Linked DNA regions of Callithrix jacchus. The protein of the gene in region 2 interacts with the protein of the main gene of each other region in a pairwise test. Links are inferred from orthologs where the notes say so. Each region holds a gene or a part of one and is shown on either strand. Other genes may lie near its edges.

Evidence for each region.
Region 1: the proteins of SETDB2 (region 2) and ARL14EP interact in binary tests that used the Homo sapiens proteins (3 or more experiments, as listed by UniProt). The two-hybrid records come from large-scale screens. The link is inferred for Callithrix jacchus from reciprocal best matches to the Homo sapiens genes SETDB2 and ARL14EP.

Annotation. Positions count from the first base shown.
Region 1 is NC_133511.1:95,685,033-95,688,788, reverse strand, and holds the end of ARL14EP (ARL14 effector protein), read right to left. Parts: coding exon 3,551-3,756; 3' UTR 761-3,550; downstream 1-760.
Region 2 is NC_133502.1:66,544,025-66,548,588, reverse strand, and holds the start of SETDB2 (histone-lysine N-methyltransferase SETDB2), read left to right. Parts: upstream 1-1,709; 5' UTR 1,710-1,751; intron 1,752-1,782; exon of another isoform or gene 1,783-2,338; 5' UTR 2,339-2,470; intron 2,471-4,564. UniProt on the Homo sapiens protein: Histone methyltransferase involved in left-right axis specification in early development and mitosis. Specifically trimethylates 'Lys-9' of histone H3 (H3K9me3).

The DNA.
Region 1 (3,756 bases), on a different chromosome or scaffold from region 2:
CAAGGACTCAACTGTTCTGCTTTTGTTTTTCTTTAAAACAGCCACCCACAACACTATTTAACAAACCAATCAATAATTTAGCCAATCTCGACTGAAAAAATAAAACGGTTTACAGAACATTTCATACCACCTAGGCACTCTAACACATGTTCAGGAATTCTGAACATGGATATTTGTGAGTACATAAATGCAGGTATTTTTCTGGGAAGTTAGTTCATAGTTTTCATCACCTTCTCACAGGGGTCTTTAACTTCCAAAAAGTTAAGACCATAATAATACTCACTACAATTATTTTCGTATTAATAAATCATTATGGGTATTTAAAAATTTACTTGCTAAAAATTATTTCCTTGAAACCATGCCAGGTAAGCAGTTTTAGAATAGACTGTCAGGTTGTAGAACAGCCTGTTATACAGAACTAAACAAAATATTTTAAAAATAGAAGAATCCTGTATGTTACAAGGTAAATAGCTATTTCCATATTGTAAAAAAAAATCCTAACATTTTATTCATATACATGCATTTCTACCTTAATATTTGTGATCAACATTGTGTGAGACCAACATTTGTGATCTAACTTCTCAACTAGCATCTACACACAAGAGAAACTGTTTATAAAACTTTGCTTTTTAGATTAATAGAATTTTAAAGTAATTTAGTCACCTGGAATATTTAGGCACAATATAGAGGCTCTAGATGATTTCATTATATTGGTTATTTCTGTAATTTCATATTACAAAATAGTAAGTAGGCGCATTAATTTTTTCAAAACACAGCTTTATTACAGCTTTACTGTAAATCAGATACATCTTTCTCTGTACACATTTTGTATGCTCATTAAAAGTTTGGTTCCCTAAATTGGTATGAACAAATATTGGCAAAATTGTTCAAGAATATTTTCCTTTGAAAAACTTATTACTATGTCTTTGAAAAATAACAGGTCTAAGAAATGCTGCAATATGGCAATTTTAAAGTCACTTATTCCGTAACAAACATTCCTATTTTAAGTAAAAAACCTAAGATTTTAATTTGTCCCTATGAAAAGCCTAAGCAATGTCATACTTAGAAAAACTAAAAGATGGTAGAAACAATGAAGATCTAAATGATCCTTATGTTTGGATAAAACTGGAGTGTTTATATTCTCAATAACAAAATATTTCCTTAGAGAAAAGAAATCTAGTATCTGACTTAAGTGAATAAAGCTGAAATGGTATTTTTGCCAGTGCTCAGGCAAATCACACAGATCAAGGAAGCTAACTGTACTTTTGATACGGCAAGTGAATAGGTGAATGTACAATCAAACCTTAAAAATGATATGTAATTCTAAAGTTGAACAAGCTACTCCGTCAAACCAAAAGCAGTTACTTTAAAAACATAAAAAACAAACAAAACCCTCTAATGGTCAATTCAAACTGGCTGTATAAATTGAGTTTTAATGGCTACAAAATCTTTCAAATTGCTAAGAGCACAACTGATTAAACTGAAGGACTGTATTTAGGGTGGAAAAAAAAAACCCAAAACCTATGTCAGTGACAATGTCCTAATGTGACAAAAAGCTTTTAGACAAAATGACAGCCGTCTTTAAAAAAGTGCAAAGAGATGATACCATTTCCCCATCTTCCAAACAGCATCCAAGCAATTTCCATCAAGATGCAATCTTATTAATCTCTGTATTAACCAGTGTTTCTCTTTTTCATCATCACTCCCTAAGGAGTCTTTTTATAATCCTAATCAACCACCTCCCAAATTTTCATACCAGGTATATTATCTGTTTATGTACAGTGTGTATATTCATGCTTTATAGATTTTTTTTGTCCCCCAGAACCATTTTGACAAGGAGCACGTGGTGCAAACAATGAAAAGTTTATAGTATTAAAACGTTTTTATTTGAATAAGCAGGGAGAAGAGAAATATATTTCAGCACTTAGATATGTAGATTATTTCCAAAATAGTTTAACACTCAACTAGTCAGTTCTGTCAAATCAGTTTTCCCCAAAGCAGGCATTGTTTCAGGGACAAGCAGTCCTCACTTTGCACAGTATCGTGGGACCATAAAAATAGCCATGCAAAACAATCTTAATAATCAATGGGGAAAATGACTGCTCCATAACCTTTAAAATTCTGCTAAAATATTAAAAACTCTTAAGATCACTTGTAAAAAATGCAAAAAAGTTTAAAACTATTTATGTAGTACAATGTTATTTAAAACATTAGAAATAGAATTAAACTGTTTTATTCCATTGTAGAAACTAGTTTGACTAGGGCTTGCCTTTTCTTCTGCCAAGTAACGTATGGTACTGAGTAAGCATCTTTTCTATTCATGGCAAACTGTCATACCACCTTTTTAAGTTTGGGTCAGCTTCCCCCTTTTATTGCTTGTGCTTTTGAAATATTTCTGTATTCACATTAAATATTCTTTAATGCATTTTTCCCTTCTTCTGGGACATATTTTTCTTTCCTGTTGCTGGAGTGCAGTGGCACAATCTCGGCTCACTGCAACCTCTGCCTCCTGGGTTCAAGCAAATCTCCTGCCTCAGCCTCCCGAGTAGATGGGATTACAGGTACATGCCACTATGCCAAGCTAATTTTTTGTATTTTTAGTAGAGATGGAGTTTCACCATGTTGGCCAGGCTGGTCTCCAACTCCTGACCTTGTGATTTGCCCACCTCAGCCTCCCAATTACGTGGCCTGTCTGTAATCCTTGGCTCATGGATTATAGGTGTGAGCCACTGCACCTGGCCGGGACACATTTATCTTTACTGCAACCACTTTTCCTACATGTACTGATAAGTTTGCCTTCGCTAAGCTCCTATGAATGAATAGCAGCAAGAACAACATTCCCATGATCAGTGACTTCTACAAGTCCATTTATGTTTGATTCAAATTTCACTTCCAGTGTTATTACTATTTTTCATTGCTTTGCTGCACTTTGATCTTTGTTGGCTAATTGTTCCCTTCTATAAAATGTCAAGTGGATGACAAAAAGACAGCATAACTACGTGCTCTGCTGTGAGTGAACCGAGTAACAGATGCGCAGGGACCAACCACTGGAAGAATTTGAAAGAAGTAACATGACTGGTTGCTGATCATGACCATGAAGCATATCTGTTGTTTACATAGTGATTTGTAGACTGAAGAACTAGCAGAGAAGTTTGTACCTCATGTAATTACTCATAGTTATACTGTGCTAACTAAAATTTTAACTTAGATTTAAACATCACCAGTTTTCTTTCCTTCCTGGTAAGGAAACTGGTGGTGTTTAAATCTAGGTCATTGAAATTTGTGCCCATGGGAACCATGCAAAGTGAGGACTGCCTACACCCTCTACTTGTGTATACTGATCCAGACAGGCTTAACACTGACTACTGAGAAGTAGCCTATTTAATTTATATCAAATAGTGAATCTTAAAGCACCGAAGATGAAAAATTACTGCACATTGAGGTGGTTTCAAAATCTCTGTCATTTGACAATCAAGCTTGAAATGTATCTTAGAGTAACAGAATTTTAGAAATAAAGACCTTCAAAGGCCCCATAGTTTGATACCACAGGTTAACCAGCATGTTTATTATGAATTATTTCTCCTCCTTCAATTTCAATTTGCTCATACAGCCATTTGCGGTCACAGCGGCATTCCGCTCCACATTTGGTAGAACCACAGGCAGGACAAGCGTAGAAACATCCTAAGCAATCTTCATCGAGGCAGTCACAGAGGTCCATCCCACTAAAAATCAGGAGCCCCTGGCTATCATAGACCT
Region 2 (4,564 bases):
TTGTTTGTTTGTTTTTCTGTAGACAGGGGTCTCGCTGTTGCCCAGGCTGGTCTTGAACTCCTGGATTCAAGCAATCCTCCCTCCTTGGCCTCCTAAAGTGCTGGGATTGCAGGCATAAACCATGGAGCCCTGCCCAAAATTAATTTTAAATACATCAATTAGGCCCCGTGCAGTGGCTCACGCCAGTAATCCAAGCACTCTGGGAAGCCAAGCAGGGCAGATCACCCAAGGTCAGGAATTCAAGACCAGCCTGGACAACATGGTGAAATCCCATCTCTATTAAAAATACAAAAACTAGCAGGGCATGGTGGCTGATGTCAGTAGTCCCAGCTACTCCAGAGGCTGAGGCAGGAGAATCACTTGAACCCGACAGGCAGAGGTTGCAGACAGCTGAGACTGCGCCATTGCAAACCAGCATGGGCCATAAGAGTGAGACTCCATCTCAAAAAACAAACAAACCCATCAATTATGTTACTGTTTGTTTTGTTTTGGTATTCCTGATGTGAGATGTCTATATCATGTATTGTTGATTCAGTTGTTCATCAGTTAATCCTGAATAACTGAAAACTAAGCTCAAGGCAATAATATATCGACTTTCTTTTCATGCATGTCAAACTGCTAAATCTACCACAAAATATTAGTCTTTCATCAGCGTGGTTTTCAGATCCAATATATTTTCTCCTCAAATGAAAGACAATGCATGCCGTCCACTACAATTAAAAAAAAAAAAGAGGAAGGAAAAAGAGGTTAATTCTATCTCCTTCCTCCCACCTCAAAAAGAGCTCAGAAATTAAGGTGGTTTCCCTAACAAAGCCTCCTCCTGCTCCATGAAGCGACCAAGCATGTCATGGCAGACCCAGAGATTTATAGATCTTCATCGTAACGACACCAGGGAAATCAAGATTTGACAAAATTCTTCCTTCACGTCCCCTGTTTTCTGCAAGACCACAACTTTCTAGCTAAAAAAAAAAAAAAAAAAGAAAGAAAAAAAGACAGCTGCAGGAATGCTTGGCTGCCCGCTAATGAACAATCTTGCCCACACGCAGAACTTGACACCCACTCTTACCACAGAATGGCCTTAGTCAGAGTAACCTCCCGCGAAGAGCAAACAGTTTAGCCGCCGCTCCCTCGAACATGTCAAAAGAGGAAGTCTCTTTTGAATCTGAGGATAGTAGTGAGGCACACCCCTTCTATTACCAGCATTGTTCCTTTTTTCAATCAGGCAGTGCATCAGCTAGACTCTTTTGTCAAAAGGGGTTGATGGTCGGAATCTTTGCGAGACAAAGATTCCAGAAAGAGCACTTTGGAATCAAGGAATTAATGTTAAGGCATCAAAGACCCCGCCCAGCTCCCACAATGACCAACAAACCAAAGCCGGGGATCTCTACTATTACCACCATCCCTCGCTCTCTCTAGCAAGGGATGAGACTCAGGCCCAGGAAACCCATCATTTCCGCGAGTGAGAAGGCGCCGGGTCTCCTCCCTTAGGCCTCTCCTTTACCTCAGCGTTTTCCCGGGACCCCTCCACTACGGCAAGCCGCGTAAGTTTTCAATCCCTAAGCCCAGTCCCAGCCACACACAAGATGGCAGCCCCGAACCTACTGGAGGAAACAGTCGCGCTACTACACAAGTGATGCCGGCCTCTCGACTACGAGTAACCCCATTGGCCCAGCCAGAGAGCGCGAGTCAAACCGAGAGCGCTGACAGCCAATCGGGAGGCGGCGCGTTCGGACGCCACTGCGGAGCCAGAGGTAAGCGCGCCGAGTCTCTGAGGAAATACCCAGTGGGGAGTGAGACCAATCAATGGGTTACTGGCTGGGTGGTGGGACGGCCAGAGTCCGACTCCTTCTATGTAGTGATCGCTTTAGGTGGGTCCTGGGCGGAGGTTCCGCCCTCCCTTGTTCCCGGCGGAGGCGGGGCAGGACTGTTGTGGTTGAGGTAAAGGCTGGTAATCGGTAAAGTACTTCCCGGCCAGAGGGCACCCGGGGCCGGGAGGGCTGAGCGGCTCGGCGTCGGAGGAGAGCCCCACCCGTAGAGGAACCCAGCCTTGCCAAGCGAGCGGGCGGAGCTCAGTCCTCAGGTCAGGCGGGCGGCGTAGAAAACGCAGCGGAGCCTGGTGAAACCAAGGCACCGCCGTGGGTGGCCTCGACAATTCCTCTAGTCTGGCGGTCGGAGGACCTGAAAACGCCGTGGAGCCCTCGGCCGCCGGAGCAAGGACTGGACCCCAGCCCTTGCAGCTTCCCTTCTCTGGGCACCCACGTGCAGTCCTGGCTGTAGAAGGAGCCGCGGGCACAGAGTTCTCAACCCCCATTTCAGCCTGTCTGTCTGTCTGTCTTAGGGAGCAGCTTTAATGAGAGGTGATTTCAAAGCTGCTGGGAACCTGAGGTTGTCAAAGGGACGGCAGGAAATGAACAGCAGTATAAAACCCAGAAGCAGAACTTGAAGGTTTAACCACTAGCCCATTTCACAGGTAAGATTACACGAGCCCATAAATGCAGCAAGAGCATCATTCACCCAAGATCACAGAGTTCAGATTAGATAGTAATAACACTTCATGATTCGCTATCAGCCACAGCCCAATAAGTAAGTAAGGAAAAATACTGTGCTCTTCGGCATGTGGAAACCTGCAGTGAGCTCTGTAAATATTAACTCATGAGGCCAAAGAGAGGAGTAACTTTGAAGAGGTCAGATGGGGTAATCAGAGCATAGGCTCTGAAACTAGGCTGCCTGGTTCCTTATTTTGTCTGCCACTTAACGGTATGAGGTGCCTTAGCTTCCTCATCAGCAAACGAGCTGCTAATTTAACCCACATGACTGTTAGGGGGATTAAATAAGAACACGTGAAGTATTTAGAAGTGACTGACCCGTGGTTCTTAATAATGTTTATTGCTGTCGTTATAATTAAAACGTCAGAAGCCGAGAGGAAATGCTGTGTTTTTAAAGCCTATTTTTAGAAACAGAAACCATACATTGAAGCAAAGCAGACTACCTTGATTATTTTTCTGCCAAAATGAAAAAGAAGGGGTAAAAGTTTTTAAAGCCCATTTACTCTCTGAAATATTGACACCAGTTGTCTCTGGATGATGAGATGGTGTTTAAATTTTCTCCTTTATGCTTTATTGTATTTTGCAGATTTTCTGCAGGGAACATGTTTTACTTTTGCCCCGTTCAGTTGTTTTAAAATTTTCAGGTGTGAACGCTGGTGAGAGTTTTTTAAAAATAAAGCTATGGGCCGGGCCTGGGTGGCTCATGCCTGTAATCCCAGCACTTTGGGAGGCTGAGGCTGGTGGATCACCTGAGGTTAGGAGTTGGAGACCAGCCTGACCAACATGAGACCTGTCTCTACTAAAAATACAAAAATTAGCCGGACATGGTGGGATACACCTGTAATCCCAGTTACTCAGGAGGCTGAGGCAGGAGAATCACTTGAAGCCAGGAGGCCCAGAGGCAGAGGCTGCAGTGAGCAGAGATTACACCACTGCACTCTAGTGTAGGTGACAGAGCGAGACTCGTCTCAAAAACAAACCAACAAAAACAAAGCTATGGCCAGCGAGGTGGTTCACACCTGTAATCACAACACTTAAGGAGGCAGAGGTGGGTGGATTGCTTGAGCCCAGAGTTTAAGACCAGCCTGGGCAACATAGTGAGACCTTGTGTCTAAAAATATAAAACTTACTGAGTGTGCTTAGGTGGAAGTATAATTGGTAGAACCTTTCTGGAAGAAAGTTTGACAATATGATATAACAAGCTTTAAAATTGGCAATTCCTTTTTGAACATTTATGCTTAATTTTTAAAAACGAAGTACACTTTTGTGTTCTTTTACAAAATTGGTACTTTGTAGATAAAGAGCACAATCCAGATTTTGGCCTTGAGTTATTCCTTGGGTGTCAAGATTATACTTACCTCATAAAAACAGTTGAGTAGCCTCCTGTATTTTTCCTGCTTGAAAGTTCCTATGTGATAAAAAATTGTCTGTTCTTGTACGAGGAATGTTCCCTCACTCCTCCTCTTCCTGCCTACTCCTTATGGAGACTTTGATACAGAGCTTTCAAATGTTTTTTAATATTTACACCTTTTAATACTGTTACATATTCTATATAGGTGAATATATATACATTTGTGATTTTTTGAGTGGAAAAGTATCATACTACATCATTCTGTAGCTTTATTTCTTAACAGTGATCTCACTACTGATCAGCACAGGAGTTTTGACCTGCTCACATATTTTTAGTGGAAAAATATCATACTACATCATTCTGTAGCTTTATTTCTTGACAATGATCCCAACTACCCATCAGCATGGGAGTTTTGACTTGCTCTGTTTATAGCTCATTATGTTATTTATGGATCATTTCTTCTACCTGCTGCATAGTGTTCCGTTGTATGACTGAATTGATCTGTTAAAATATTTCTCTCTTTTTACTGGTCTTTATGTTAAATCCTATTTTGTTTGATGTGTGCTGTATCGCACATTTTATTTCCAATCTCTTGAGGACATTAGGTTTCTAGTTTTTCACCATACAACAATGCTGCAAGGAAAATCTTTGTGTTTTTTTTGTGCAC